Linked DNA regions of Anolis sagrei. The protein of the gene in region 2 interacts with the protein of the main gene of each other region in a pairwise test. Links are inferred from orthologs where the notes say so. Each region holds a gene or a part of one and is shown on either strand. Other genes may lie near its edges.

Region 1 (16,343 bases), on a different chromosome or scaffold from region 2:
CTTTCCCCGCGTCTCCAGGTCAATGCACAGCTGCCGCGCCTGCGCACTCCGAGCACCAGACGCCTGTGAAGAAAGGAGACATCGCGTCTGAAGGTGTGTCTACACCGGAGGACGAATGCGGTTTAGCATCAACTGTGACAAGGAGTTTCATGGGAGCCAAGAAATTCCTAAGGAGGTTCCTCTAATGGGTAATAGATATATATACATATATACATATACATACACACACATATAGAATGTATTATTATGATTATATATACACACATACATACACACATTATTATAATGATTATATATATATACATACATACACACACATATAGAATGTATTATTATAATGATTATATATGTACACACATACATACACACATTATTATAATAATTATATATGTACACACATACACACATTATTATAATGATTATATATATATACATACATACACACATTATGATTATATATACACATACACACATTATTATAATGATTATATATATACACATGCATACACACACATATAGAATGTATTATTATAATGATTATATATGTACACACATACATACACACATTATTATAATGATTATATATATATACATACATACACACATTATGATTATATATACACATACACACATTATTATAATGATTATATATATACACATGCATACACACACATATAGAATGTATTATTATAATGATTATATATGTACACACATACATACACACATTATTATAATGATTATATATGTACACACATACACACATTATTATAATGATTATATATATATACATACATACACACATTATGATTATATATACACATACACACATTATTATAATGATTATATATATACACATGCATACACACACATATAGAATGTATTATTATAATGATTATATATGTACACACATACATACACACATTATTATAATGATTATATATATACATACATACACACATTATGATTATATATACACATACACACATTATTATAATGATTATATATATACACATGCATACACACACATATAGAATGTATTATTATAATGATTATATATGTACACACATACATACACACATTATTATAATGATTATATATATATACATACATACACACATTATGATTATATATACACATACACACATTATTATAATGATTATATATATACACATGCATACACACACATATAGAATGTATTATTATAATGATTATATATGTACACACATACATACACACATTATTATAATAATTATATATATACACACACATATTATTATAAGGATTATATATACAGGGTTAGTCAAAATGAATAGGCCAATAAGCGTTACAGTAAACATACATTCGGCCTATTCATTTTGACTAACCCTGTATATATATATACACATATACATACACACATTATTATAATGATTATATATATATATACACAATACATACACACATATATAAAATGTATTATTATAATGATTATATATATACACACACATATATACACACATTATTATAATGATTGTATGTATATATATATATATATATATATATATATACACACACACACACATATAGAATGTATTATTATAATGATTATATATATATATACACACACCATTGTTGTGTTTTTAAAGCTCCCAAATGCATCCCAGGGAGGTATATTTATTTATTTATTTTATTATGCAAACGCATATGGCGCCACTCCCCTGGGGCTTGGAGCGACTTACAAGAACAGGCTAAAATCTAACACAATTTAAAAACAGCAATATCAAAGATCAAAGGCCTGTCGAAACAGGTATGTCTTCCATGCCCTGCAGAAAGCTAGTAAGTCCCGCAAGGCACGGACTTCAGGTGGCAGAGTCCAGAGCGATGGTGCCACTGCTGTGAAGGCTCTGTGCCTGGTTGCTGTTAGATGAAAGGTCTTGACACTGGGGATTTCCAATAGATCTTGGTCCTCAGAATGGAGGGATCTCTGGGGTTGGGAGGGGGTGAGGTGGTCCCTCAGGTCCATCGGCCCCAGACCATGCAAGGCCTTCAAGGTGAGTCCCATCTCTTTGAAAGTGCTCCGGTGCTCAATGGGTAACCAATGCAGCTGCAGGAAGATTGGGGTGATGTGGCATCTCATCGGAGTTCCCACTTGAATTTTGTACCAACTTGAGCTTCCGGATCACCGACAGCGGGAGGCCAATGTAGAGGGCGTTACAGTAGTCCAGTCTTGAGATGACCGTGGCCTGGACAGGGAGGGGGCCAGCAGTCTAGCTTGCCGCAGGTGAAAGAAAGAAGGTGGTGCTGCTCACGGCGGAGACCTGGGCCTCCATTGTCAGCAGAGGGTCCAAAAGGACTCCCAGGCTCTTGACCAACGAGGACGGGCGTAGTGCCTCGCCATCCAGGGTAGGCAGCTGGACGTCCCCACTGCCCGGTCGACCCAGCCATAGGATCTCCGTCTTTGCTGGATTCACCCTCAACCTGCTGGCACACAGCCATCCAGTCACGGCCTCAATGAGGCACTGAGGGAAACAATCGGGGACAGAGTCTGGTCGGCCTTCCATCTTCAGCACCAGCTGAGTGTCATCGGCATACTGATAACACTCCAGCCCAAAACCTTGAACCAGCTGAGCAAGTGGTCATAGAGATGTGAAACAAGAGAGGGGAGAGAATGGCCCCCTGAGGAGGAACCCCACAAGAGAGAGAGAGAGGGGGGACCTCTCTGAGACCAGGCCTTCCCTCTCCACTCGCTGTCCACGGTTGTGAAGAAAGGAGGACACACATATATACATATACAGCATGATTATCTAATAATTTATTATTATTATACATATAATAATGTATAATAGATTATTAAGGTTATTAAGATTGAAATTGAATCCAGACAAGACAGAGGTCCTCCTGGTCAGTCGCAAGGCCGAACAGGGCATAGGGTTACAGCCTGTGTTGGACGGGGTCGCACTCCCCTTGAAGACGCAGGTTCGCAGCTTGGGTGTGACCCTGGACTCATCGCTGAGCCTGGAGCCCCAGGTTTCGGCGGTGACCAGGGGAGCATTTGCACAGCTAAAGCTTGTGCGCCAGCTGCGCCCGTATCTTGGGAAGTCTGACTTGGCCACGGTAGTCCACGCTCTGGTTACATCCCGTTTAGACTACTGCAACGCTCTCTACGTGGGGTTGCCTTTGAAGACAGCTCGGAAGCTCCAACTAGCCCAACGCTCGGCAGCCATGATTTTAACAGGAGCGGAGTGCAGGGAGCATACAACCCCCCTGTTGCGCCAACTCCACTGGCTACCGATCTGCTACCGGGCTGAATTCAAAGTGCTGGCGTTGGCCTTTAAAGCCCTAAACGGTTCCGGCCCAAGCTACCTATCTGACCGCATCTCTGCCTATGAACCCACCAGGACTTTGAGATCTTCCGGGGAGGCCCTGCTCTCGATCCCGCCTGCTTCTCAAGCTCGGCTGGCGGGGACGAGAGATAGGGCCTTTTCTGTGGTGGCCCCCCGGCTTTGGAACACCCTCCCCATAGAGGTACGATCAGCCCCTTCGCTGATGGTGTTTCGGAAAAGATTGAAGACATGGATGTTTAAACAAGCATTCGGTTAATCCGTTGTAACGAATTGTGATGACTAAGGATTGGTTATACACGGACGATGAATTTTGGATTACGATTCCAGTTATGAGATGCATAGGATTGTTATTGGTGGCCCAATAATTTGTACTGTATATGTGTTTTATGCTTTTAACTGAATATTGTTTTTTAAATGTTGTAAACCGCAATGAGTCGCCGATTTAGGCTGAGATATTAGCGGTATACAAGTACATAAATAAATAAATAAAATATATTAATATAAGTATTAAAATAAAAATACTATAATAATGTGATATTATGTAAATATAATACAATAATATATACTAAAATATAATATGAATATAATAAATTATAATAGTAGAAATATAGTAATAAAATATATTAATAATATAAATATTAAAATAAAAATACTATAATAAGGTAATATATAAATATAATATATACTAGAATATAATGTGAATATAATAAAATATAATAGTAGAAATATAGAAATAAAATATATTAATAATATAAATATCCCAGTGTTCCTTACTCTCTCCATTGGCGCCATGAACAAATAAAATAAAAAAATAAAAAACAATAATAATATAAATATAAAGCAGATAAAATAATATAAATATACTAATGTAATATGACTATAATAAAATATAATAATAGTAGAAATATAATAATAAAATATATTAATAATATAAATATCCCAGTGTTCCTTGCTCTCTCCATTGGGGCCATGAACAAATAAAATAATAAAATAAAAATACTATAATAATGTAATGTTATATAAATATAATATAATAATATATACTAAAATATAATATGCGTGTAGTAAAATGTAATAATAGATATTAGCGGTATACAAGTGCATTAATAAATAAATAAATAAATAAATAAGATCTTCCGGAGGGGCCCTGTTCTCGGTCCCACCACCCTCTCAGTCGCGCTTGGTGGAGGCGAGAGACAGGGCCTTCTCATTGGTGGCTCCCCGGCTCTGGAACTCCCTTCCACTGGAAATTCGATCTGTCCCCTCCCTCCTGACTTTCAGGAAATTACTAAAGACCTGGCTCTGGAATGTGGCATTTGAGGACTGAATCTTTGATGAACTGTGACTACGACTATGACTGTATTGACGTTCTGGCCTGGGTAATTGTAATGATGGTGTTTTATTGTATTTTATTGTGTGGTTTTAATCTTTAATGATGTTGCACTCGGTTGTATTTGTATACAGGGTTAGTCAAAATGAATATTTATTTATTTATTTATTTGCTTCACTTTTATACCGCATATTTCAGCCCTTGACAGGCGACTCAATGCGGTTTACAGTGCAATTAAAAACACGGCAATACAACAACCGGGACGACAACGTCGCTCCACAACAATTAACATAGACAGACAAATCGACAAACAACATATATAGCGCCTCCGTTAAAGTCAGATCCATTCTCATAGTCATTGTGCCGTTCCTATGTTCAGTTACCGTCTTCCTTAGTTAGTTGCATTGCTTAGCCGAACGCTTGTTCGTAAAGCCAGGTCTTGACCATTCTCCGAAACGCCAGCAACGAAGGTGCCTGCCTGATGTCAGCTGGCAAGGCATTCCATAGCCGAGGGGCCACCACTGAGAAGGCCCTGTCTCTCGTCCCCGCCAAGCGTACCTGTGACGCAGGCGGGATCGAGAGCAGGTCCTCCCCAGACGATCTTAATGTTCTAGTCGGTTCGTAGGCGGAAATGCGTTCGGAGAGGTAAGCGGGGCCAGAACCGTTTAGGGCTTTATAGGCTAAGGCCAGCACCTTGAATTGAGCCCGGTAGCGGATTGGCAGCCAGTGGAGCTGGCTCAGCAGAGGAGTGGTGTGCTCCCTGAGTGCCGCTCCAGTTAGCAACCTGGCTGCCGAGCGCTGGACCATCTGAAGCTTCCGGGCTGTCTTCAAGGGCAACCCCACGTAGAGCGCGTTGCAGTAATCAATCCGGGATGTGACCAGAGCGTGGACTACCGTGGCCAAGTCCGACTTCCCAAGGTACGGGCGCAACTGGCGCACAAGTTTGAGTTGTGCAAATGCTCCCCTGGACACCGCCGAAACCTGGGGTTCCAAGCTTAGCGAGGAGTCCAGGATCACACCCAAGCTGCGAACCTGCGTCTTCAGGGGGAGTGTCACCCCGTCTAACACAGGCTGTAACCCTATGCCCTGTTCGGCCTTCCGACTGACCAGGAGTGCCTCTGTCTTGTCTGGATTCAATTTCAATTTGTTCGCCCTCATCCAGTCCGATACAGCGGCCAAGCACCAGTTCAGGACCTGAACAGCCTCCTTAGTAGTAGGTGGGAAGGAGTGACAGAGTTGGACGTCATCTGCGTACAGATAACACCGCACCCCGAAACTCCGGATGATCTCTCCCAACGGCTTCATGTAGATGTTAAATAACATGGGGGACAATATTGAGCCCTGCGGGACCCCACAAGTCAATGGTTGTGGGGTAGAGCAGTTGTCCCCCAGCAACACCTTCTGAGTACGATCCTCTAGGAAGGACCTGAGCCACTGCAGAGCAGTGCCACCAAGGCCCATTCCCGCGAGGCGTCCCAGAAGGATACCGTGGTCGACGGTATCGAATCTTTGATGAACTGTGACTACGACTACGACTGTATTGACGTTCTGGCCTGGGTAATTGCAATGATGGTGTTTTATTGTATTTTATTGTGTGGTTTTAATCTTTAATGATGTTGCACTCGGTTGTATTTGTATACAGGGTTAGTCAAAATGAATAGGCCAATTCATTTTGACTAACCCTGTACATTGGCCTATTCATTTTGACTAACCCTGTATTTTGCAATTGCATATATGCTGTAAACCGACCTGAGTCCCTCGGTTGAGGTGAGAAGGCCGGGATAGAAAACTTCCAAACAAGCAAACAAATAAATAAAAATTTTATTTATTTATTTGACTTGAATAATTTATTATTATTATTATAATATAATAATGTATTTGATTTATTTTATTTGTTTATTTATTTATTTGACTTGTATAAATTAAATGATTATCTAATTTATTATTATTATAATTATTATTATTATTATTTCCCCGCTATCCTTTTCCTCCTCCCCATGTTTATACTATTCTGCCCTCCTTCCTGTTGCCATGTTTATACAGGGTTAGTCAAAATGAATAGGCCAATAAGCCATTCAATTGAATGGCTTATTGGCCTATGCATTTTGACTAACCCTGTATTCTGCCCTCTCTTATCAAGGCACTGAAAGGCACTGGACCTGGATCTCCTCGACCATGTCCTGGGAGAAGACCCCCTCCTGCACCAGGAGATCCCAGAGGGGATCCACTCGCAGCTCCTTCACCAGCCGGACCCGATTCCTCCGCAGCAAAACCCGGTGGGACTCCTCCATGGCGGGAAATAGAGGAAAACACGCTACTTCCGGGTAGGGAACTCCCCTACCCTTGACCACGCCCCTGGCTCCTCCCCTTTGCGTGACGCCACATGCCCATATATGGCCACCGCTTGGCGACATCGTTCTGACGCATGCGCGGTTATCTCCTTGTGGTTGAACTGCCCGGAGACAAGCAGCTCCCTACGCATGCGCAGTGTCCGCTTCCTTATCGCCAAACGATCCATGAGACAAACCGCTCTTCACCACGCATGCGAGGTACAGGTTTCTACGCATGCGCAGTTTCCCCCTCCTTAGGGTTGAACAAACCGCATCGAGACAAACGGCTCTCTGCGCATGCGCAGTTTCCAGCTCCTTGTGCCCAAACAACTCACAGTAGACAGACGGCTCACCACGCATGCGCAGTTTCCACCTCCTTAGGGTTGGACAACCCTAGCAAGACAAACGGCTCTCCGCGCATGCGCAGTTTCCCCAGCTCCTTGTGGCGAAACAACTCACAGTAGACAGACGGCTCACCACGCATGCGCAGTTCCCCCCTCCTTAGGGTAGAACAAACCGCATCGAGACAAAGGCTCTCTGCGCATGCGCAGTTTCCAGCTCCTTGTGCCCAAACAACTCACAGTAGACAGACGGCTCACCACGCATGCGCAGTTTCCCCCTCCTTAGGGTAGAACAACCCGTAGCGAGACAAACGGCTCTCTGCGCATGCGCAGTTTCCAGCTCCTTGTGTCCAAATAACCCGCAGGAGACAGACGGCTCACCACGCATGCGCAGTTTTCCCCTCCTTAGGGTTGAACAACCCGCAGCAAGACAAACGGCTCTCCGCGCATGCGCAGTTTCCAGCTCCATGTGCCCGCGCAGGCGCAGCTTGCAGCCCCTTGTGCCCAAACAACCCACAGGAGACAGACGGCTCACCACGCATGCGAAGCACAGCTTTCTACGCATGCGCAGTTTCCCCCTACTTAGGGTTGAATAACCCGCAGCAAGGCAAAGGGCTCTCCGCGCATGCGCAGTTTCCAGCTCCTTATGCCCAAACAACCCGGAGACAGACGGCTCACAACGCATGCGCAGTTTCCCCAGCTTTTTGCTCTCTGCGCATGCGCAGTTTCCAGCGCCTTATTGCCAAACGATCCAAAAGAGAAACAGCTCTCCGCGCATGCGCAGTTGTTTCCAGCTCCTTATTGCCAAACGATCCGAGACAAACACCTCTCTGCGCATGCGCCGTTTCCAGCTGCGCATGCGCGGAGAGCCGCTTGGAGACGGCTCAACACGCATGCGAGCTACAGCTTTCTACGCATGCGCAGTTTCCCCCCGCCATATGCTCTCCGCGCATGCGCAGTTTCCAGCTCCTTATTGCCAAACGATCCACGGGACAAGCAGCTCTCTGCGCATGCGCAGTTTCCAGCTCCTTGTGCCCAAACAACCCGCAGGAGACAGACGGCTCACCACGCATGCGAAGTACAGCTTTCTACGCATGCGCAGTTTCCCCAGCTTTTTCTCTCTCCGCACATGCGCAGTTTCCTGCTCCTTATTACCACACAATCCCCGAGACAAACGGCCATCCGCGCATGCGCAGTTTCCATCTCCTTATGCCCAACCAACCCACAGTAGACAGACGGCTCACCACACATGCGAGGTACACCTTTCTACGCATGCGCGGTTTCCCCCGCCTTATACTCTCGGCGCATGCGCAGCTCGTTCCACCGCTCGCTTACCCTCCCGGCCAAGTTTCGAGGCGGGGCTTGGCCTTGCCGGAAGTGAGCGTCTCTATGGTGACGGCGGCCGGAACCGGAAGTGGAGCCTAAAGGGACAAGAGAAGAGAGCTGAGGGTGGGTAGTGCGAACATTTCACCAATTATTATTTTTATATATATAATATTAAACTATGTATATGAACTCTTTATATATATATATATATAATATATATTGTATATTTTTATGTTTTATAGATATTCTATTTTTATTACATTTTTAGATATTCTAATTTTATTATATATATATATATATAAAATTGTTATATTTCGTAGAAATTATATTTTTATTGTTTGATGGGTATTCTATTTTTGTATTTTGTAAATATTTTTTGTATATAGATATATTTATATGTTTGTTCATTATTTTATAATTTATAAATATATTTTGTCTCAACATTTTTATTATTTGTATATATTTATATATATGTTACATTTATATTTATATAAATATTATTTGATATTTTGATATTATATTTCATACTCAAATTTGCCTTTTTATTATTTGTTTATATATGTGTGTAATATATATTTATATATATATATATATGTATAATATATAATGTTATATATATATGTTTGTGTGTGTATATATATATATATTATATAATATTATAATATATATAATATTATATTTATATAATATTTTAGTTGTATATGTTTTTATATTTTTAGATCATATATGTTTATTAGTATTTATATTATATGTATATATTTATATATATGTTACATTTATATTTGTGTACGTATTATTTTATATGTTGATATTATATTTTATACTGACATTTTACCTTTTTATTATATTTATATATATGTATAATATATATAATGTTTTATATATATATGTGTGTTTGTGTGTGTGTGTATATATATATTATATAATATTATAAGATATAATATTTTATTTGTATATGTTTTTATATTTTTAGATAATATATGTTTATTATTATTTATTTTATATGTCTGTATTTTTATATATTATAATATATTTTATACTGACATCGTACCTTTTTATTATTTGTTTATATATATGTATGTGTATACATATATATATATATATATAATGTATAATATATATTTTTATATATTTATATATTTATATATATGTATAATATATATATATAATGTTATATGTGTGTGTATATACATATATTATATATAATATTTTATTTGTATGTTTTTATATTTTTAGATAATATATGTTTATTATTATTTATTTTATATGTCTATATTTTATATATATACATTACATTTATCTTTGTATTATATATATTTATATTTTGATATTATATTTTATACTGACATTTTACCTTTTTATTGTGTGTTTGTATATATATATATGTATAATATATATACTATATGTGTGTGTGTGTGTGTGTGTGTGTATGCAACTGTCTTTCGGGCTGCAAAGGTTGACAGCAAGCTACACAAATTGGTCGGAAGCTCACTCTGACCCCGGCTGGCTTCGAACTCATGACCTAGAATCATAGAATCCTAGAATCAAAGAGTTGGAAGAGACCTCCTGGGCCATCATCCAGTCCAACCCCATTCTGCCAAGAAGCAGGAATATTGCATTCAAAGCACCCTGACAGATGGCCATCCAGCCTCTGTTTAAAAACTTCCAAAGAAGGAGCCTCCACCACACTCCAGGGCAGAGAGTTCCACTGCTGAACGGCTCTCACAGGCAGGAAGTTCTTCCTCTTGTTCAGATGGAATCTCCTCTCTTGTAGTTTGAAGCCATTGTTCCCTTGCGTCCTAGTCTCTCTCCAGGGAAGCAGAAAGGAAGCCTGCTCCCTCCTCCCTGTGGCTTCCTCTCACATATTTATACATGGCTCTCATCATATCTCCTCTCAGCCTTCTCTTCTTCAGGCTAAACATGCCCAGCTCCTTAAGCCGCTCCTCATAGGGCTTGTTCTCCAGACCCTTGATCATTTTAGTCGCCCTCTTTCCCTGGACACATTCTAGCTTAGAGTCAATATCTCTCTTGAATTGTGGTGCCCAGAATTGGACACAATATTCCAGGTAACGTGGTCTAACCAAAGCGGAATAGAGCATGGAGAGCAGGACTTTTAACTGTGCTAAAACACAAAAGAAACATGCACAAGAAGTGGAAAAAGGGAGAAATCACCAAAGAAGAATTCAAACAAATAGCCAACACCTGTAGGGAAAAGGTCCGCAAGACTAAAGCACAAAATGAACAGAGGCTGAATAGAGCATGGGGAACAGGACTTCCCTGGATGTAGACACTAGGCTCCTCTTGATGCAATATGTATAATATATATACTACTAGCTGTGCCCTGCCACGCGTTGCTGTGGCCTATAGTAAAACTTATCAAAGTTGAGGTAGATATTTGGACTATTATGTGTGTGCAGCGGCGGGGGGAATGATGGAGCCTGGGGTTGCGTGTGTGTGTGCGGCGGCGGGGGGAGTGGGGTTGCGTGTGTGTGTGCGGCGGCGGGGGGAGTGATGGAGCGTGGGGTTGCGTGTGTGTGTGCGGCGGCGAGGGAGTGATGGAGCATGGGGTTGCGTGTGTGTGTGCGGCGGTGGGGGAGTGATGGAGCGTGGGGTTGCATATGTGTGTGCAGCGGCGGGGAGAATGATGGAGCCTGCGGTTGTGTGTGTGTGTGCGGCGGTGGGGGGAGTGGGGTTGCGTATGTGTGTGTGCGGCGGCGGGGGGAATGGGGTTGCGTGTGTGTGTGTGGTGGCGGGGGGAGTGATGGAGCGTGGGGTTGTGTGTGTGCGTGCGGCAGGGTGTGTGTGTGTGTGCGGGAAGCGGCGTGGTGGGGCTTGGAGTGGGCATGGCTTCTGCAGAGGGAACGTTGGCCAGAAGGCTGTGTGTGCGCGCCAGGGAACTTGCGGCTGGGCACCAATGCGCATGCTCAGTTGTTTTGCCATTTTGTGAGTGTGTTGTTGTGTTGTTTTTCATTTTGAGTAGATATATTTGTACCTTGTGGGCTGTGTTATTGGCATGGGAATTTTGGTTAAGTTTCGTTGGGGGGTTTGTGAGCTTTGTTGTTTTGCCGTTTTGTGAGTGTGTTGTTGTGTTGTTTTTCATTTTGAGTAGATATATTTGTACCTTGTGGGTTGTGTTATGGGCATGGGAATTTTGGTTAAGTTTCGTTGGGGGGTTGTGGAGTTTTGCTGTCCGGTTGAACCAACCTAACAGATTTATATATATAGATATATGTGTGTGTGTGTGTATATATATATATGCAACTGTCTTTCGGGCTGCAAAGGTCGACAGCAAGCTATACAAATTGGTCGGAAGCTCACTCTGACCCAGGCTGGCTTCGAACTCATGACCTTTCAGTCAGTAGTGATATTTTACATTTTAGTAATTGTGTGTGTGTGTATGCTTTAGATATTTGCATATTATTTTAGATTTTACATTTGTAGTACAATATTCTGATCTAGTACAATAATAATAATCATTATTATATAAGGGGCCACCTAGTCCAATATTATTGTATAATATTGTATTATCATTATACAATATTATTATTATATTTTAATTAGTATTATTTTACTGACACAAAACACAGTATGTCACAGCAAAATAATACTAATAATTGCAACAACAATAATAGATATGTATATTTCTGGCCTCTCCTGACCTCTCTCCGCTTCGTTTTGTTCAGGAAGCAAGATGGAGATGAAGCGGCTGAGCGTCTCGCTGGTGGCGCTGCTCTTCCTCGTCCTGGCCCTGCAGATCTTGTCGGCCATTGATTTCGACCCCTACCGGATCCTGGGGGTCAGCCGGACGGCCAGCCAGGCCGAGATCAAGAAGGCCTACAAGAAGCTCGCCCGGGAATGGTGAGCGGATGGGGAAAATGGGATCTTGGGAGTTCTGGTTCTGTGGTGAGAGCTTGGGAGTTCTAGTTCCAATGAAATGGGATCTTGGGTGTTTTAGTTCTAATGTGATCGGATCTTGGGAGTTCTAGTTCCGATGCAATGGGATTTTGGGAGCTCTCGTTCTAAAGCAATGGGATCTTGGGAGTTCTGCTAATGCGATAGTATCTTGGGAGTTCTGGTTCTGTTCTGGGAGCTTGGGAATTCTAGTTCTAATACGATGGGATCTTGGGAGCTGATTCTAATGCTATAGTATCTTGGGAGTTCTGGTTCTAAAGTGATGGGATCTTGAGAGTTCTAGTTCTAATCCTATGGGATCTTGGGAGTTCTAGTTCTAAAGTGATGGGATCTTGGGAATTCTAGTTCCAATGCGATTGGATCTTGGGAGTTCTCGTTCTAAAGCAATGGGATCTTGGTCGTTCTGCTAATGTGATAGTATCTTGGGGGTTCTGGTTATAAAGTGGTGGCATCTTGAGGGTACTAGTTCTAATCCTATGGGATCTTGGGAGTTCTAGTCCTAATATGATGGGATCTTGGGAGTTCTCGTTCTAAAGCAATGGGATCTTGGGAGTTCTGGTTCTAAAGTGATGGGATTTTGAGGGTTCTAGTTCTAATCCTGTGGGATCTTGGGGGTTCTAGTTCTAATCCTGTGGGATCTTGGGGGTTCTAGTTCTAATGCTATGCTTGGAAGTTCTGGTTCCAATGTGATGAGATCTTGGGAATTCTAGTTCCAATGCGATGGGATCTTGGGAGTTCTAGTCCTAATGTGATGGGAGCTTGGGAATTCTATTTCTAATATGATGGGATCTTGGGAGTTCTCGTTCTAATACGATAGGATCTTGGGAGTCTACTTCTAATGTAATCGGATGTTGGGAATTCTAGTTCTAATACAATGGGATCTTGGGAGTTCTGGTTCTAATGCTATGCTTGGAAGTTCTGGTTCTAATGTGATGGGAGCTTGGGAATTCTCGTTCTAATGCTATGGGATCTTGCGGGTTCTAGTTCTAATCCTATGGGATCTTGGGAGTTCTGCTAATGCAATAGTATCTTGGGAGTTCTGCTTCTAAACTGATGAGATCTTGAGGGTTCTAGTTCTAATCCTATGGGATCTCAGGAGTTCTAGTTCTAATGCTATGCTTGGAAGTTCTGGCTGTAATGCGATGGGATCTTGGAAGTTCTGGTTCTAATGTGATGGGAGCTTGGGAATTCTAGTTCTAATATGATGGGATCTTGGAAGCTGGTTCTAATGCGATGGAATTCTGGTTCTAATTCTATGGGATTTTGGGAGTTCTAGTTTTAGTGCTAGGGAATCTTGGGAGTCAAAGTGGTGTCAAACTGCATTAACTCTATGTTGCGATGATAATGATGATGATGAGATATAATAATAATAATAATAATAATAATAATAATAATGTCGTATGTATTTTAATACTGTTGTATTTTACCGTTCCGTTTTAAAACCCTGTTGTGCCCTGCCTTGAGCTGCAAGAAAAAGCAGAATTATTATTATTATTATTGTTATTATTATTATTATTATTTATTTCCTTCTCTTCTTTTTCTCTCTTTTCCATTTGTTCTTTCTTCCTTCCCATCTTTTATCTTTGTTGTTTGTTGATCTCTCTTTGTTCTTTCTTTCTTTTCTTTCTCTTTTTTCTTTCCCTTCCCTTCTTTTTTCTTTCCTTCCATCCCCCCATATGTTTTCCCCTTCCCTTTTTCTTCTTCCATTGCTTTTCTTCTATCTTTTTTCTATCCCTCTCTTCCCTCCCTCCCTTCCTTCTTTCCTTCTCTTCTTTTTCTCTATTTTCCATTTGTTCTTTCTTCCTTCCCTTCCTTTATCTTTGCTGTTTCTTGATCTCTATTTGTTCTTTCTTTCTTTCTTTCCTTCCTTTCTCTTTTTTCTTTTCCTTCCCTTCTTTTTGCTTTCCTTCCATCCCCCATTCTTTCCCCCTTCCCTTTTTCTTCTTCCCTTGCTTTTCTTCTTTCTTTTTTTATTCCTCTCTTCCCTCCCTTTCTTCCTCCCTTCTTCGTTCTGTTCTCTTCTTTTTCTCTCTTTTTCCATTTGTCCTTTCTTCCTTCCCTTCCTTTGCTGTTTCTTGATCTCTCTTTGTTCTTTCTTTCTTTTTTTCTTTCCTTCCACCCACCCATACTTTCACCCTTTCCTTTTTCCTCTTCCCTTGCTTTTCTTCTTCTTTCTATCCCTCTCTTCCCTCCCTCCCTCCCTTCCTTCTCTTCTTTTTCTCTCTTTTCCATTGGTTCCTTCTTCCTTCCCTTCCTTTATCTTGGCTGTTTCTTGATCTTTCTTGGTTCTTTCTTTCTTTCTTTCAGTCTTTCTTTCTTTCTTTCTTTCTTCCCTTTCTCTTTTTTCTTTCCCTTCTTTTTTCTTTCCCCCTTCCCTTTTTCTTCTTCCCTTATTTTCTTCTTTCTTTTTTTCTATTCCTCTCTTCCCTCACTCCCTTTCTTCCTTCCTTCTTCATTCTGTTCTCCTCTTTCTCTCTCTTTTCCATTTGTTCTTTCTTCCTTCCCTTCCTTTATCTTTGCTGTTTCTTGATCTCTCTTTGTTCTTTCTTTCTTTCAGTCTTTCTTTCTTTCATTCTTTCCTTTCTCTTTTCTTCTTTCTTTTTTCTAACCCTTTCTTCCTTCCTTCTTCCTTTCCTTCACTTCTTTTTTTCTCTTTTCCATTGGTTCCTTCTTCCTTTCCTTTATCTTTGCTGTTTCTTGATCTCTCTTTATTCTTTCTTCCTTTCTTCCCTTCTTTTCTCTTTTCTTCTTTCTCTTCCCTTCTTTCTTTTTCTTTCCTTCCATCCACCCATACTTTTCCCCCTTCCCTTTTTCTTCTTCCCTTGCTTTTCTTCTTTCTTTTTTCTATTCCTCCTTTCCCTCACTCCCTTTCTTCCTTCCTTCTTCCTTTCCTTCACTTCTTTTTTCTCTTTTCCATTGGTTCATTCTTCCTTCCTTTATCTTTGCTGTTTCTTGATCACTCTTCTTTCTTTCTTCCCTTCCTTTCTCTTTCCTGCCTTTCTCTTCCCTTCTTTCTTTTTTCTTTCCTTCCATCCCCCCATACGTTTTCCCCTTCCCTTTTTCTTCTTCCCTTGCTTTTCTTCTTTCTTTTTTCTATCCCTCTCTTCCCTTCTTCTTCCTTTCTTCATTCTCTTCTTTTTTCTCTTTTCCATTTGTTCTTTCTTCCTTCCCTTCCTTTATCTTTGCTGTTTCTTGATCTCTCTTCTTTCTTTCTTTCTTTCTTTCTTTCTTTCTTCCCTTTCTCTTTTTTTCCTTTCCCTTCCCCTTTTTCTTTCCTTCCACCCTCCGTACTTTTCCCTTTTCCCTCTTCCCTTGCTTTTCTTCTTTCTTCTTTCTATCCCTCTCTCCCTTCTCTCTCTCCCTTCATTTCTTCGTTTCCTTCTTTTTTTCTCTTTTCCATTTGTTCCTTTTTCCTTCCCTTCCTTTATCTTTTCTCCTTTCTCTTCCTTTCTCTTCCTTTCTCTTTCTTTCCATCCCCTCATACGTTTTCCCCTTTCCTTTCTCCAACCAACAAACATTATTATTATTATTATCATTATTATTATTATTACCCTGCTGTATCACTCCAAAGGAGACTCAGCTCGGCTTGACATAAAGGCATTACTATACAATCTATATATATAAAAATGCTCTGTGTGTCATGAGTACCTTAAAAACAAAAGAACTAATGAATGAAATCGCACCAAATTTGGCAACAAAAAGTCTCACAACACAAGGAGTGACCATCACTCAAAAAATTGAGATTTTGTCATTTGGGAGTTGTAGTTGCTGGGATTTATAG
Region 2 (15,589 bases):
TGCCTGCAGACAACCCCACACACATATATACACACATACTCACAAATATAAACACATATATACACAACGACACATACTACAGACATTGTATATAAATAAAAATGTACTGTCCATTTGTGGGGACCTCATATCTCCCAAACCTTGAGAAACTACAAGTCGCTTCCGGAGTGAGAGAATAGGCCATCTCCAAGAATGTTCCCCAAAGGGACGCCCAGATGTTTTACCATCCTGTGAGAGACTTCTCTTTTAAGATATGTAAAAGGTTCAGGGTGGGGAAAAAGAACTCTTTTCTACTTGAACCAGGTGTGAATGCTGCAATTGATTACCTTTGAAAAGCCTTGCAGCTTAAAAGCCTGGCTTCCTCCTGCCAGTGGGAAATCTTTGTGGGGAGCTGTTTCTTAGTCCAGATTGTTTAATGACTGGAATTCCTGTTTTCTGAGGGCCACAGAAATGCGTGACAGGGTACAGCTAGTGTATATATATATACACATAAATGCTCTATTCATTTTGAGTGACATCATAACTCAAAAATTGCTGGACTAATTGCCACCAAATTTGGCCACAAGACACCCACTAACCCAAGGAGCGACTATCAGACACAAAAAATGATTTTGTCATTTGGGAGTTGTAGTTGCTGGGATTTATATTTAACCTACAATCAAAAAGTATTTTGAACTTTACTAATAATGGAATTGAACCACACTTGGCACACAGGACTCCCATGACCAACAGAAAACATGAGAAGGACCTGGTGAGCATTGACCTTGAATTATGAAGATGTAGTTCACCTACATCCAGAGAGCACTGTGGACTCAAACAATGAAGGATCTAGACTAAACTGGGCACCAATACTCAATATGCCCAAATAGGAACACAGATGGAGTTTGGGGAAAATAGACCTTGACATTTGGGAGTTGTAGTTACTGGGATTTATAGTTCACCTACAATCAATGAGCATTCTGAACCCCACCAACAATAGAATTGTGCCAAACTTCTCATACAGAACTCCCATGACCAACAGAAAATACCGTGTTTTCTGGTGGTCTTTGGTGATCCTCCTGAAATACTGTTTACCCACAAGCATAAAGAAATTACATATACTAGAAACTAACACTTTCTCGAAGGCTTTCATGGCTGGAATCACTAGGTTCTTGCCATAGATGCAGGCGAAATGCTTGCCATAGATGCAGGCGAAACGTCAGGAGAAATGCCTCTAGAACATGGCTCTATAGCCCGAAAAAACCCACAAGAACCTAACACTTTCTCATTACTTTATTTTCCAGATCACCAGACTGGGCCACAGCAACGTGTGGCAGGGGATGGCTAGTAGTACTCTAAAAACAGACTCAGATGTTAAAAGTGGCCTTGCTTACGAGGCTAAAGTTTTACCTGGCAGATGAACAACAATGAAATTGATACTAAGTGGGCTTATTTGAGGAAGAAATCCTTTGAAAGATAAACTACAACTTTTATGTTTTCGCTGGGACAGTCCTGATTAATATGCTGCATACTTTTTCAGCTGGTTTTAAAAGGCCCTGGTTTCTTCCCACTTTCCCCCTGCAATTAAAATGCTTCCCAAATCCCTAGCCACATTGCTTCTCTTAGTGAAGCTTAGTGCAAAGTATATATCAGTAGCAGATGACCTTAATGCCTCAACTTATTGGCTCCAGATGCTTTGGATGACAATGCCCATCAGCTTGGTCAGGAGCTTATGGGGAGTTGTCGTTCAAAACTGGAGGATTCCCTCTTGAGAAAAGCTGCCTTAACACCCTATTTAGGTGTATGAGCATTTGTTTGCAGCCAAAGCCATATAGGGCTGTAAAAGTAAGTTTCTACACCTTGAACTGGGGATTTCCAAAGTGCTTTTAAAGCTTAATGCATCAGTAAGTGGAGTGCAGTTCACCAGATGTTGTTGGACTGCAAATCCCATCAACTCTTTTGCCATCGCTAACGGTAAGAGATGCTGGGATTTGTAGTTTGCTGCCATTTGGAGGACCACACTTCATGTACCTCCTGTTTTAGGGGGCTTGAGCCAGTCTACATATAACTGATGACATGTGAAGTGAGAAACACTATGCTTCTCCACTGATTTAATTAGCAGATTAAAAAAAACATTTTGCTTAGAATCATAGAGTTGGAAGAGACCTGATGGGCCATCCAATCCAACCCCCTGCCAAGAAGTAGGAAAATTGCATTCAAAGCACCCCTGACAGATAATGGAGCCCCCGGTGGCGCAGTGGGTTAAACCCCTGTGCCAGCAGGACTGAAGACCGACAGGTCGCAGGTTCGAATCCGGGGAGAGACAGATGAGCTCCCTCTGTCAGCTCCAGCTTCTCATACGGGGACATGAGAGAAGCCTCCCACAAGGATTATAAAAACATCAAATCATCCGGGCGTCCCCTGGGCAACGTCTCTCATGCCAGAAGCGACTTGCAGTTTCTCAAGTCGTCCTGACATGACAAAAAACAAAAACAAAACAAACCCTGACAGATGCCATTTTGCCTCTGTTTAAAAGCCTCCAAATAAGGAGCCTCCACCACATTCCGGAGCTTAGCTGTATTCAAAATATCATGGTTCCTGTGACAAATCATATGTATCTTTCATCAATATCTAGAGATTCGTGATCCATTTAGTCAGAGTTAGACAAGTACAAGTGATAGCTCACATTGTGAAGAGTCCGTTTATCAATGGCAACCATATATTATCATATTTCCATTCCACCTCCTCCATAAAATTTAGAGTAGTGTGCATGGTTGTTTTTTTTTTGTTGCACTTTTTATCCACAACAGTCCTCTGAGGTAGGTTAAGCTAAAGCCACAGACTTGTCCGAGGTCACTCATCGATAAGCTTCATTGCTGAGTTAAAATCTGGAGCTATATATTCTCTGATTCAGGTCTCTGAGGCAGAGATCCAAAACCTGTAGTCCTTGGGAAGCTGTGGATTTCGGTATCCATAAGACTGAAACCTAACTGATAGTCAGAAGCGATGGGAGTTAGACTCCAACAATACTTTGACCACTACAAGTTCCTGTAAGTCTAGCTGATGGTCAGGATGATGGGAGTTAGAGTCCAACAATGCCTGAACCACTACAGGTTCCCCACCCCAACACCAACCTTCATCATATATAGGCTGAGCATCCTTTATCTGGAATTCCAGAAATGCCCAAAATACTTTTGAGTAATAGTTTTACTTTCCAACAGTTCAATGTGCACAAAATGATGCTCAACATTACTACAACTATTGTATAAAATCGGAGCACAAGCCAAAACCCAGTAGGTTTTGGCTTGTGCTCTCAGGTGTAGTCAAAAACAGCTTGCAGCTTTAAAAATTAACACAAATGAGTTAATTTACCAGGTGGAGCTTGCAAGTTAAAGGTGGCCCAGGAGGCAGCATTATTCTCTTAGTTTCTGTTGTAGTGGCTGCGGATCAGTGTTTCTTGTTGTGGTTAATACCATTAGGTAAGTGCCAGGCATAAACAATAACATAATTGTGTACAGAGAGTTTGGGGCAGTGGGTTGTGACTCAGATGCCTGTGGCTTGGTTTGCTGACTTGAGTTTATTGTAAATATACTTGTTATGTAAGACAGGGTGGTGTAATGGTTTGAGCGTTCAGTTACAATTTTGGAGATAAGGTTCCAATTCCACCTGGGCATGAAAGTCTACTGGGTGACCTTGGACAAGTCACATTCTCTCAGCTTCAGACAAACTCCCCCCCCCCACCAAAAAACAAACAAACAAACCCTGTGATTGTTTCCACCAAAGACTAGAAACAACTTGAAAGCATACAGCAACAAATTAGTTGTGGACACTATTTATTCTCTCTTACAGGGATATAGCACGAGGCAACGACAAAATGATTGCATTGTCAGGCCAAATAAGGATTTTACTAATCCAAAATAATGTTCCTTCAGTCCCCAAACTTCTACCACTCAAAATAATTCACACCTAGAACTTTTGTTTCCTTGTGTTCATTTGTCCTTGGTAACTTTTTTTTACCTCTTTCCTTTGGATGTCTAAAACATATTTTTAGATGCCAAAATGGAATGTTAAATGACTGCTATGCTAGTAATTTGTGGAAAATTTTAGGGGAGAGGATTTGTACAGAGGGGCAATGTTTCCATTTTAGTCTGCGCTTGTAACTATACCTCTGCATATAAAAGCCCTCCAAATGTTAGACTGCAAATCCCAGCAGTCTTAGCCACATTATAAAGTGTGGAGGTGAAACTCTGTATAGCTGGGCAAAAAGGAAAAGTGTATATTTGACTATTTAGAATATACTTTGGAAACTGTAAAGCTCAGAGGTATCTTAAGGTAAAGGTTTTCCCTGACATTATGTCTAGTCGTGTCTGACTCTGGGGGGGGGGGGGGGGATGCTCATCACAGTTTCTAAGCCAAAGAGCTGGCATTGTCCATAGACACCTCCAAGGTCATGTGACCAGCATGACTGCATGGAGTGCCATTACCTTCCTGCTGGAGCAGTACGTATTGATCTGCTCACATTTCCATGTTTTTGAACTGCGAGGTTGGCAGAAGCTGGGGCTAACAGCGGGAGCTCACCCCGCTCCCCGGATTCAAACTGCCAACCTTTCGGTATGTTACAATCATATAAACTACTCTTTATGTATAGGCTGTCACACCTCAGTTCCTTATGTTCATGTTGAAATACTGTGCAGTGGGGGAGGAATAGTAACTGCTAGGTTGGCAGAAGCTGGGGCTACCAGCAGGAGCTCACCCCACTCCCCGGATTAAAAACCCCCAACTTTTCGGTATATTACAATAATATAAACTACTCTTTATGTATAGGCTGTCACACCTCAGTTCCTTATGTTCATGTTGAAATATTGTGCAGTGGGGGAGGAATAATAATTGCTAGGTTGGCAGAAGCTGGGGCTAACAGTGGGAGCTCACCCCGCTCCCCAGATTCAAACCGCCAACCTTTCGGTATATTACAATATTATAAACTACTCTTTATGTATAGACTGTCACACCTCAGTTCCTTCTGTTCATGTTGAAATATTGTGCAGTGGGGGGAGGAATAATTAATGTAAAATGGCATTTTTTGTTCTTTGTTGTTCAGCTGTAACAAAGAAAGGAGAACCAATGTACTGTCAGAGGGCAGAACAACAAATTCTCTGTTCTGGAGTCATCAAACTGTCTTAAACTCCGGAACGTCTTCCTCCATCCTCTGCTATTTTCTACAAAGTGGAACTGCTATGACTATAATTAACAACAACATACTTGGAATTCATAAGGCCTCAGAGTCAGCCTGGAAAGGTAGTTAGTTATCCACTATACAGTTGTCCCTCCCCATTCGTGGTTTTGGCTTTTGTGGATTTGATTATTCACAGACCATGTTTACCACGTTCTCCTTAGGAATATCTGGGTTCTCCAGTGTGACTCTGTGGCCAACTTTCTGTAGTCATGCTGGAAGACCTTGGGCCTTTCCACACAGCCATATAAACCAGAATATCAAGGCAGAAAATCCCACAATATCTGCTTTGAACTGGGTTATCTGAGTCCAAACTGCTATATATCCCAGTTCAAAGCAGATAATGTCTTATTTTATTCAACTGTGTGGAAGGGGCCCTTGAGATCTATAGAGAGAATGCCTCCTGTTATGCTTGTCTATAAAATTATAGGTATTCCAAAATTTTAAAACCCTGTCCTAAGCATTTCAGATAAGAGATACTCAACCTATATATATTGTCGCTAAGCATGGGGACCTGTTTAGTCATTTTGGGTTGCTACTGGCAATAGCCTCAGTCCCTCTATTAATTTCTTCCTATGATTGAATATAGAACCAGACATATTCTGCAGACTAGTGAAAGTAGACGTTAAAGTAGTTCAATATGATACCATAAATCATTCTATATTTCTCCATAAGAGTTTCCTAGTATAGATCCCCAGAGCAAGATCATAAGCGTGCTTATAATTTCAGATATCAATCAACAAAGGTGCTTTCTCTTAAAAACTGTTGTTTCTGCTTCTCTTGGCTTTAGCAGAATTGGACTTTTCAATAGCAGCTTCCTGGTTCTTCTCAGGATATTTGCCCTTGCATTGCTTATTTCTGCTTTACAGCTGGAGTCAGCAAATGTTACTCTACTGCAGGGGTCCTCAAACTACGGCCCGCGGGCCACTTCTGGCCCACCAAGGGCATTTATCCGGCCCGCGGAGGAGGAGCCCCCCCCCCCACACAGTGCCTCTCCCTTGGCTGGCTCACGCTGTCAGGCCCGATGTGTAGCATGAGCCAGCCAAGGGCGGCTGTCCCACGCGGCCTACTCTCGTGTAAAGCACCTCGCGAGGAGCTTTATGCGAGAGTAGGCCGCGCAGTGCTGCTCCTCCCTTGGCAAGCTCACGCTATCTGTCAGGCCCGATGGGCAGTGTGAGCCAGCCAAGTGAGGCTGCCTCGGGCTCCATGCAGTCATGCCAGCCACATGACCTTGGAGTTGTCTATGGACAACGCCAGCTCTTCGACTTAGAAATGCAGGTGAGCACCATACCCCAGAGTCAGACATGACTGGACTTCATGTCAGAGGAAAACCTTTTACTAGGAAAATTGTGGAAGATCCAGGGTGGGAGAAAGAACTCTTGTCTGTTGGAGTTGGGTATGAATGTTTCAATTGGCCACCTTGATTACCATTTCATTGCCTGACAGTTTTTAGGGAGAATCCTTTGTTGAGAGGTGATTAGCTGGCCCTGATTGTTTCTTGTCTGGCGTTCCCCTGTGTTTGAGTGTTGTTCTTTATTTACAGTTATAATTTTAGAGTTTTTTTAAATACTGGTAGTCAGATTTTGTTCAGACTAGAAATAGGAAGATTTCCCATTCTCTGCTCCTGGAATTACTGCCTAAAGAGGGCTAGAAAGAACCCCCTCTAAGGGCCCTTCCACACAGCAAAATAAGATATGTGCAATATGTATAGGATTTTTTTAATTGATTTTTTTTTTAAAAAAACTATAGTCCGGCCTTCCAACGGTCTGAGGGACAGTGAACTGGCCCCCAGTTTAAAAAGTTTGAGGATCCCTGCTCTACTATGTAGCCTTCAACATTTTAGAGGTGAAAACAGGACCAGGTGTAGCCAAGATAGTAGGGTTATTAAGGAGGACAAATTAGAAAAGGCTGCAGTAGTATGTTTTTGCCTAAGGCTACTGGAAAGAGCAAGGTTTTCCCCTCACTACTAGGTTAAAAGGGTGCTAAGTACTTTTGCACTTTGAGCTCAGTTTGCAGCAATTGAAATGGACCCCTTGGTGGCACAGTAGGTTAAACTGCTCAGCTGCTGAACTTTCTGACTGAAAGAGTGACAGTTCGAATCCAGGGAGCGAGGTGAACTCCTGCTGTTAGGCCAACTCCTGCCAACCTAGCAGTTTGAAAACATGCAAATTTCAGTATATCAATAAGTACCGATTCTACGGGAAGGTAACGGCATTCCATGCAGTCATGCTGGCTACATGACCTTGGAGGTGTCTACAGACAACACCGGCTCTTTCGCTTAGAAATGGAGATGAGTACCACCTCCCAGAGTCTGACATGGCTAGACTTAATGAAAGGGGAAAATCTTTACCTTTACCTACAGCAATTGAAACCAGCCTAGTACAAAGAGGGACCCTTGGAGTAGGAGAAGACATGGACATTTTAAATGGAGCAGAAAAAGTGGAATGAGAGAGGATTAATCAGAACTGTCAATGGTGCATTGTCATTACTTATGTCAGTGTTTCTCAACCTTGGGGTTGGAACCCCGGGGGGGGGGGGGGTTGCGAAGGGGTGTCAATGTGGTCACCAAAAACTATCATAAACCATATTTTCTGTTGATCATGGGGGTTCTGTGTGGGAAGTTTGGCCCAATTCTATCGTTGGTGGGTGTGGGGCGTAAGATTGCACATAACTGAATACGTGATGCCACACCACATATGTAGTTTTCTGTCACCACTTTAAAACCTGGGATATACTCTGTTTCTGTCCTTTTACAGGTGCCTTTCTTCTTGACTCAGTGAGGGGAAGAAGAATTTCCTTTCTAAATTCCTTTACTGCCTTGTACTGCTGCAGTTTCCCTTTTAAATTGGTTGGGGCTTTCTTGTGAGCTGTTAAACCTTTGTGCTTTATATCACAGGCTTGAAACACTCCGATAAGCAACTAAGTAACAAAGTTTATTTATAGCTTCTGGTTCCAATGCTTTATGGTTACATTTGTGTTTTGTTACAGCCTCGAGTCTTACATTCAGTATAATTCACTCAGTTAACTTTTCTTATGAAACCCTCACTGTCTCACATCAATGAATATGTTACTTTCTTCACATTCCCTTGGCTGAACTATATTCTGACTTAGAAAGCTCTTGGATTGTAGGTGAACAATAAATCCAAGCAACTACAACTCCCAAATGTCAAGGTCTATTCCCCCAAAATCAATCAGTGTTCACATTTGGGTGTATTGAGTATTCATGCTAAGTTTGGTCCAGATCCATCATTGTTTGAGTCCACAGTGATCTCTAGAGGTAGGTGAACTATAACTCCAGAACTCAAGGTCATTGCTCACCAAACCCTTTCAGTATTTTCTGTTGGTCATGAGAGTTCTGTGTGCCAAGTTTGATTCAACTCCATTGTTGGTGGAGTTCACAATGCTCTTTAATTGAGGTTAACTATAAATCCCAACAACTACAACTCCCAAATGACAAAATCAATCCCTCCCAACCCCACCAGCATTCAAATTTGGACATATCGGGAATTTGTTCCAAATTTGGTCCAGTGAATGAAAATACATCCTGCATGTTAGATATTATTTACATTACAATTCATAACAGTAGCAAAATTACAGCTATGAAGTAGCAACAAAAATAATATTATAGTTGGGGGTCTCCACAACATGAACTATATTAAGGGGTTGCAGCATTAGGAAGGTTAAGAACCATTGCCTTAATTGCTCCGTGAAATTACTGTTTCAACAGAGAATTTGATACCAGAGTCATGTATAACATGGAAATAATAGAGTTCTATTCCTACACCATAGAAAAGAACAACAGCAAACTTTTGTTCAAAACAAATAATATGCTCATGCAAAGTGAAACTACCAGATCCAAGTAATTAAGTAAATTAAAACATTTTGAACATTTTAGAGACAGTTTGGAACTGTTTTCCAAAAAGTATCCAGGGGTAATCTGTTTATTTTCTCAACAGCCTTGACTTTTCTTATGCTTTCCACTTTTCCAGCTGGTTTTAAAATATCCTGGTTTCTTTCTTGTCCTCCCACTTTCTCTTTTTTTCTTCATTTTTTTTCAGTTGCTGCAAACTGATTTCAAAGTGAAAAAAATAGTACACACATATATAAACAGGAGACCAGTGGGATGGGTCTTTTACTTTTATGTAAATGGCATAAACATTAGACCTGTTTAGTCATTCTGTGAGTCACTGGATTACCTCCCTCCCTTTTGTCCTGCCTGAACAAAGTCCACAAGGCATTCAGTCTGACAGGAGACCTTTTGTGTCCAGTGTGCCCCTGCTTTAAACTGTTGCTGGATTTCTCTCTTCTTTCTCCCTCCCCACCCAAAATACTCACACTCACATCTGGCTAGCTGTGACTGTTTCTCTTTTTCTTCCTTTCCTGTTCAAGCAAGGAGAAGAATTGGACAGAAGGGCTACCATTGACCTCCAATAATAAAATCAGCAGACTGCAGAAAAGCCAGAATTCTGAATATCTGTTGTTTGGGAGCTTGTTTGGCTTTTGGAGTTGGGAGATTTCCAGAACACACTGTCAGTGGATCGGTTGGTAGAGCCAAAGAAGACCAAAGCATGCAGGCTGCTGATGTGCATACGCGTTTGCTTGCATCTAGCACCAGGTTTATTGCTGATGTGCTGGCCTCTTTCCTGCCTAACAACCGGGAAATGGAAGATCCAAACAGAAGGGAGAGTGCATCTTCAGAGGGCAGCTCCTCTCCAGAGGAAACCAGGGGCCGGCAAATCTATTTGTCACACTCTGGTATGAGATCGGAAGAAAAGCGACTCAGGACCTTCCGGCACTGGTCAGAGCAGGTACCTGTCTCTCCATCCGACTTGTCTGCAGCTGGGTTTTTCTTCATTGGGCCTGGTGACCACGTGGAGTGTTTCTGCTGTGGAGGAGTGCTTTACGACTGGACTGCTGAAGACGACCCCATGGTGGAGCATGAGAAGTTCTTCCCAAGCTGTCCCTTCATCCAGGGCAGGGATTTCGGCAACCAGCCCCTGCCTCGGGCTGGAGAAATCCCGGACTGTGTGGATGGCCAGTTCCTTGGCATGCTGCAAAGTTTGAACATGGAAGAAGCTGCCGGAGACAGCCAACCGGAATATCCAGATCTGGAAATGGAAAGGGATCGCCTGAGGACATATCACTGCTGGCCACCCTACGCTCACGTGTCTCCAGAGGAGCTGGTGGGAGCAGGCTTTTTCTACACAGGTATGCACAAATACCAGCACTGTCCTGCTAGGTCTTACCCAAAGTCCAGGTAGTACAGTATTCTGGTCCCAGCAGGTCTTTTTCAGGGAACTCGAAAATAATATTGCAAAACCAATTACTTTACTTGTTTATTAATGTTGAATGTGCATTGAAAGTACTTCTGTTTGTGAAGGCTCCATTTCAGTCATCATGTTCAGAATGGTTTGACTTTGAAAGAGGAGGTCTAGGAAGAATATTTTATTTCAACAGGCATTTAGCAATTAGCTTGTTGGTGCAGAAGTGCTTTTTAATAATATAAGATATTGCACACACATATAATATTGATAACAATATTATAATGTAGTACAATATAATACTACTAATAATACAATATCATAATTATATATTTTATTACATGTAATATTAGTAATAATATTACAGTATAATGGTATAGTACAATATAGTAATATATAATACTAATATTGTGCTGTGCTAATAATATATTGTATACACATATAATATTGATAATATAATGTAATCTATGCAAATAAAAAATGTAATGTTCATTTGTGGGATTAACATAACTTAAAAACCACTGGGCAAATTGACACCAAATGTGGACACAATATACCTCTCAGCCCAATGAGTGACCATAACTCATATAAACACTGAAAAACACAGCGGAAGGGACTTAAAAAGCAACAAAAAAAGAAATAAATGCTACAGCGCATGCGCAAAATGGCTCCCTTGGCAAAAAAACCCCCCACACAATAGCATATCCACACTCTCTTCCGGACTACAGCTCCCAGCATCTCCTAGACCAGGCCCCTTAGGAGAGGAGGATGATCCAAATGCACTGCTTCCAAGATGCAAGCTTGCTTCTCCTTGGATTTCTTTGAGAGCATCTCAATCCCTGCATATTTCCAATTTCCTATTCCTGGACTGCAACTCCCACCAATCTTCCAGATAAATAGATAGATTAGATAGAGATTGGTAGGTAGATAGGTAGATAGATGGATCAGGAGGGCTGTTGGGAGTTGCAGTCCAAGAATAGGTAAAGAAGGAAAAAAGAGGAAGGGAAAGAAAGGGAGGAAGAAAGGGAAAAGGAAGGGAAGGAAGGAATGAGAGAAAGAAAGAAAAAAGGGAAGGGAGGAAAAAAGGGAAGAGGGTGAGAGGGAAGGAGAGAAAGAAAAGAGAAAGAGAGAGGGAAGGTCAGACATAGCAATGTGTAGTGGGTACAGCTAGTAGAATATAATATTGATATTATAATGTAACATTACAAATCAGCCATAGCAGAGCACCTGACAAACCACCTGGACACAGCATTTTGTTTGAGAACACCGAAATGCTGGACCACTCTCACAACCACCATGTCAGACTACACAGAGAAGCCATTGAAATCCACAAGCATGTGGACAATTTCAACAGAAAGGAAGAAACCATGAAAATGAACAAAATCTGGCTACCAGTATTAAAAAACTCTAAAATTGCGACAGCACAACAACAGAGAGGAAACAAACAAGGACATCTAATCACTTCTCAACAAAAGTTTGCTCCAGGCACTGTCAGGCCATTATATGCTAATCAAGGTGATCAGTTGAAACATTCACACCTAGCTCCAGCAGACAAGAGTCCTTTGTCCCACCCTGGTCATTCCACAGACATATAAACCCTTTTTCCTAGCTCCAACAGACCTCACTGCCTCTGAGGATGCTTGCCATAGATCAGGGGTTCTCAAACTAAGGCCTGAGGACCGGATATGGCCCTCCAAGGTCATTTACCCGGCCCTCGCTCAGGGTCAACCTAAGTCTGAAACGACTTGAAAGCACACAACAACAACAACAACAACAACAACAATCTTACCTCATCAGCCAAAAGCAGGCCCACACTTCCCACTGAAATACTAATAAATTTATATTTGTTAAAATTGTTCTTCATTTTAATTATTGTATTTTTAAGTGTTTTTGCACTGCAAATTAGATATGTGCAGTGTGCATAGGAATTCATGCATTTTTTTCAAATTATAATCCGGCCCTCCAACAGTTTGAGGGACTGTGACCTGGCCCTCTGTTTAAAAAGTTTGTGGACCCCTGCCCTAGATGCAGGTGAAACGTCAGGAGAGAATGCCTCTAGACCATGGCCATATAGTCCGAAAAAACCTACAACAACCCATTACAAATAAGATTACAGTATAGTGGTATAGTATATTATAATACTATATAATACTAATATTGTGCTATGTTAATAATATAAAATTGTGTGTACATATAAAAGCTCAGAGTCCCCTTCGGGGTGAGAAAGGCAGGATATAAATGTTGCAAATAAATAAATAAAATAGTGTGTATATGCTGTACACCTATTCTTAATATGCTATTACACTGTTTGAAATTATGGTTTAGTATGACCACTTATTTTTAAAAACTTTTAAATGATCAGGTTGCTAGCCCCACTTTGTTTTTCAAAAGGTCGAAGTCTAGATCTTGTCCATTTATTTGTTCCTAGAATGGATGAGAATCTGTGGAGTTGGAATAGACCACAAGGGCCAACCAGTCCAGTGCCCCTGCCATGCAGAAACATACAGTCAAAACACTCCCAACAGATAACCCTCCAACTTCTGTTAAAAAATCTCCAGAGAAGGAAACATCACACTCCAAGTCAGCATATTTCACTGCTGAACAGCTCTTACTGTCAGAAAGTTCTTCCTAATGTTTAGGGGGTCGTCCCATCCCCCCTGTCGTGCCCCCCCCCCCCCCGCAATTTGAATCCATTGCTCCATTGTGTGCTAGTCAGGAGCAGCAGAAAACAAGTGTGCCCCCTCCTCAATGTGACATCCATTCAAATATTTAAACACACCTCTCATGTCCCCTCTCAAATCTCTTTTCTCCAACCTAAATATACACAGCACCTTAAGCTGGTCCTAAAAGATCTTAGCTTCCAAACCTTTGATCATTTTGGTTGCCCTTCTCTGGACACCTTCCAGCTTGTTTATAAATTAAGTTACCTAGAACTCACACAGTATTAGAGATAAGGTCTGACCAAAGCAGAATAGAGTGATGCTATTACTTTCCCCAATCTGGGCACTAAACTCCCCATTGATGCAGCCTAGAATCACACTGGCGTTTTTAGCTGCTGCTTCACACTGTTGACTCATGTTATAATGTGCACTCTGTCCACTTTGCAGTCCAAAAAACATATACAACCCTCTTATCAGATCCATGTTAGGAGCCCCCAGAAATAACAGAAGAGGAAATTGAGAAAGCTATAAGCAAAATGAATGTAGATAAGGCGCCGGGACCGGATGGGTTTACGGCAGGATTCTACAAGACGTTTAAACAACAGTTGATACCCATTTTCAAAGTTATAGCGAATGAAGCTTTGAAAAATCGAAAGGTACCAGACTCCTGGAAAGAGGCAGAAATAACTGTGATACATAAAGAAGGTTCACCGGAAAATGATATTAAAAATTATAGACCGATCTCCTTGTTGAATACGGATTATAAAATGTTCGCAAACATCATGGCCACAAGATTAAAATCTTTTTTAAGTAAATGGATTGGAGAAGAACAAACAGGTTTTCTCCCAAATAGACACATGAAAGAAAATGTATTAGATCTTTTGGAATATTATGAGACTAACCATCAGAAAGAATTTGCCCTTTTGTCAATAGACGCTGAGAAAGCATTTGATAATTTGAATTGGGATTTCTTCAAGATTCTGATACAAGAGTTGGACATGGGAGAGAAATTTAACAATGCAATTAATGCCATATATGAATTTCAAAAGGCTAAAGTGAAAGTGAATGGTCAAGTGACTCAAGAATTTGAGATTACAAAAGGCACGAGACAAGGTTGTCCACTCTCTCCATTGATTTTTGTTATGGCGGTGGAGATCCTGATGAAGAAGATCAGAGAAGATGAAAAGATTAAAGGAGCAAAAGTTGGAAAATTTGAATATAAAATACGAGCGTTTGCAGACGATTTAATAGGTACAATCGAAAATCCGGAGAAAAATCTACAAAGTTGGATAAATAAAATAGAAGACTTTGGAAAGGTGGCAGGTTTCAAGATGAACATGAAGAAAACTAAACTTTTATTTAAGAATGTGAATAAGGAGAAACAAATAAAGATCCAACAACAGATTGGAATAGAAGGTGTCAAGAAAATTAGATATCTAGGAGTTTGGATTACAGCTAGAAATGGACAACTCTTAAAGAATAATTATGAATCAGTCTGGAAGAAGGTTCAAAAGGACTTACAGAACTGGGACCGGTTGAAAATATCTCTTCTGGGAAGAATAGCCTTGATAAAAATGAATGTATTACCAAAACTCATGTTCCTGTTCCAGAATATACCGGTGATAAGAAGTCAAACTTTGTTTAAACAGTGGAAGAAAGACTTAATGAAATTTGTCTGGAAAGGAAAAAGACCAAGAATTAATTACACAAATTTAATAGATAAGAAAACAAGAGGAGGATTGGGCTTTCCCGATTTGAAGACATATCACGAGGCCTGTGCATTGTCCTGGATTAGGGATTGGATGACTTTAGATAAAGAAAAGTGCCTAAACCTAGAAGGCTATGATTTAAGAGTGGGATGGCACGCGTATGTATGGTATAATAGAGAGATGAAGGAGAAGAATTTTGGTAACCATTTTGTGCGAGCCTCCCTATTACGGACATGGATAAGATATAAAGCTCTTTTTTATAAAACAACACCATTATGGATTTCAGCAATGGAGGCACATCAAAGAAGATTACTAGGATGGAGGACCTGGCCAAGATATAAGGATATATTAGTGAAAGGGAAAGCGGAGATCAAAACATTTGAACAATTAAAGACTGTATATAGCAATATAACTTGGCTAAATTACCTACAAATTAAAGAATACCATAAACAAGATCGGAAAATAGGTTTTGATTGGAAGGAGAACACATGGGATAGAATATTAAATATACAGAAGAAAGCGGTTGCAATATTATATAATAAATTGCTCCAGTGGATGACAGAAACAGAACAGGTGAAAACCTCCATGATTAAATGGGCGGAAAATATAAGAAGACCCATCCACTTTGGGGAATGGGAAATGATGTGGAATAAAAAATTGATATATACATATGCTATGGACTTAAAGGAAAACTGGTATAAAATGTTTTATAGATGGTATTTGACTCCGAGTAGACTGAGTTATATGTAC

What was found.
Region 1: the proteins of BIRC7 (region 2) and CASP9 interact in binary tests that used the Homo sapiens proteins (3 or more experiments, as listed by UniProt). The two-hybrid records come from large-scale screens. The link is inferred for Anolis sagrei from reciprocal best matches to the Homo sapiens genes BIRC7 and CASP9.

The regions. Positions count from the first base shown.
Region 1 is NC_090033.1:19,567,054-19,583,396, forward strand, and holds the start of CASP9 (caspase-9), read right to left. Parts: upstream 7,244-16,343; 5' UTR 7,068-7,243; coding exon 6,813-7,067; intron 64-6,812; coding exon 1-63. Other genes in the region: DNAJC16 (dnaJ homolog subfamily C member 16), read left to right, coding at 12,342-12,508. UniProt on the Homo sapiens protein: Involved in the activation cascade of caspases responsible for apoptosis execution. Binding of caspase-9 to Apaf-1 leads to activation of the protease which then cleaves and activates effector caspases caspase-3 (CASP3) or caspase-7 (CASP7).
Region 2 is NC_090024.1:235,225,497-235,241,085, forward strand, and holds the start of BIRC7 (baculoviral IAP repeat-containing protein 7), read left to right. Parts: upstream 1-9,435; 5' UTR 9,436-9,777; coding exon 9,778-10,417; intron 10,418-15,589.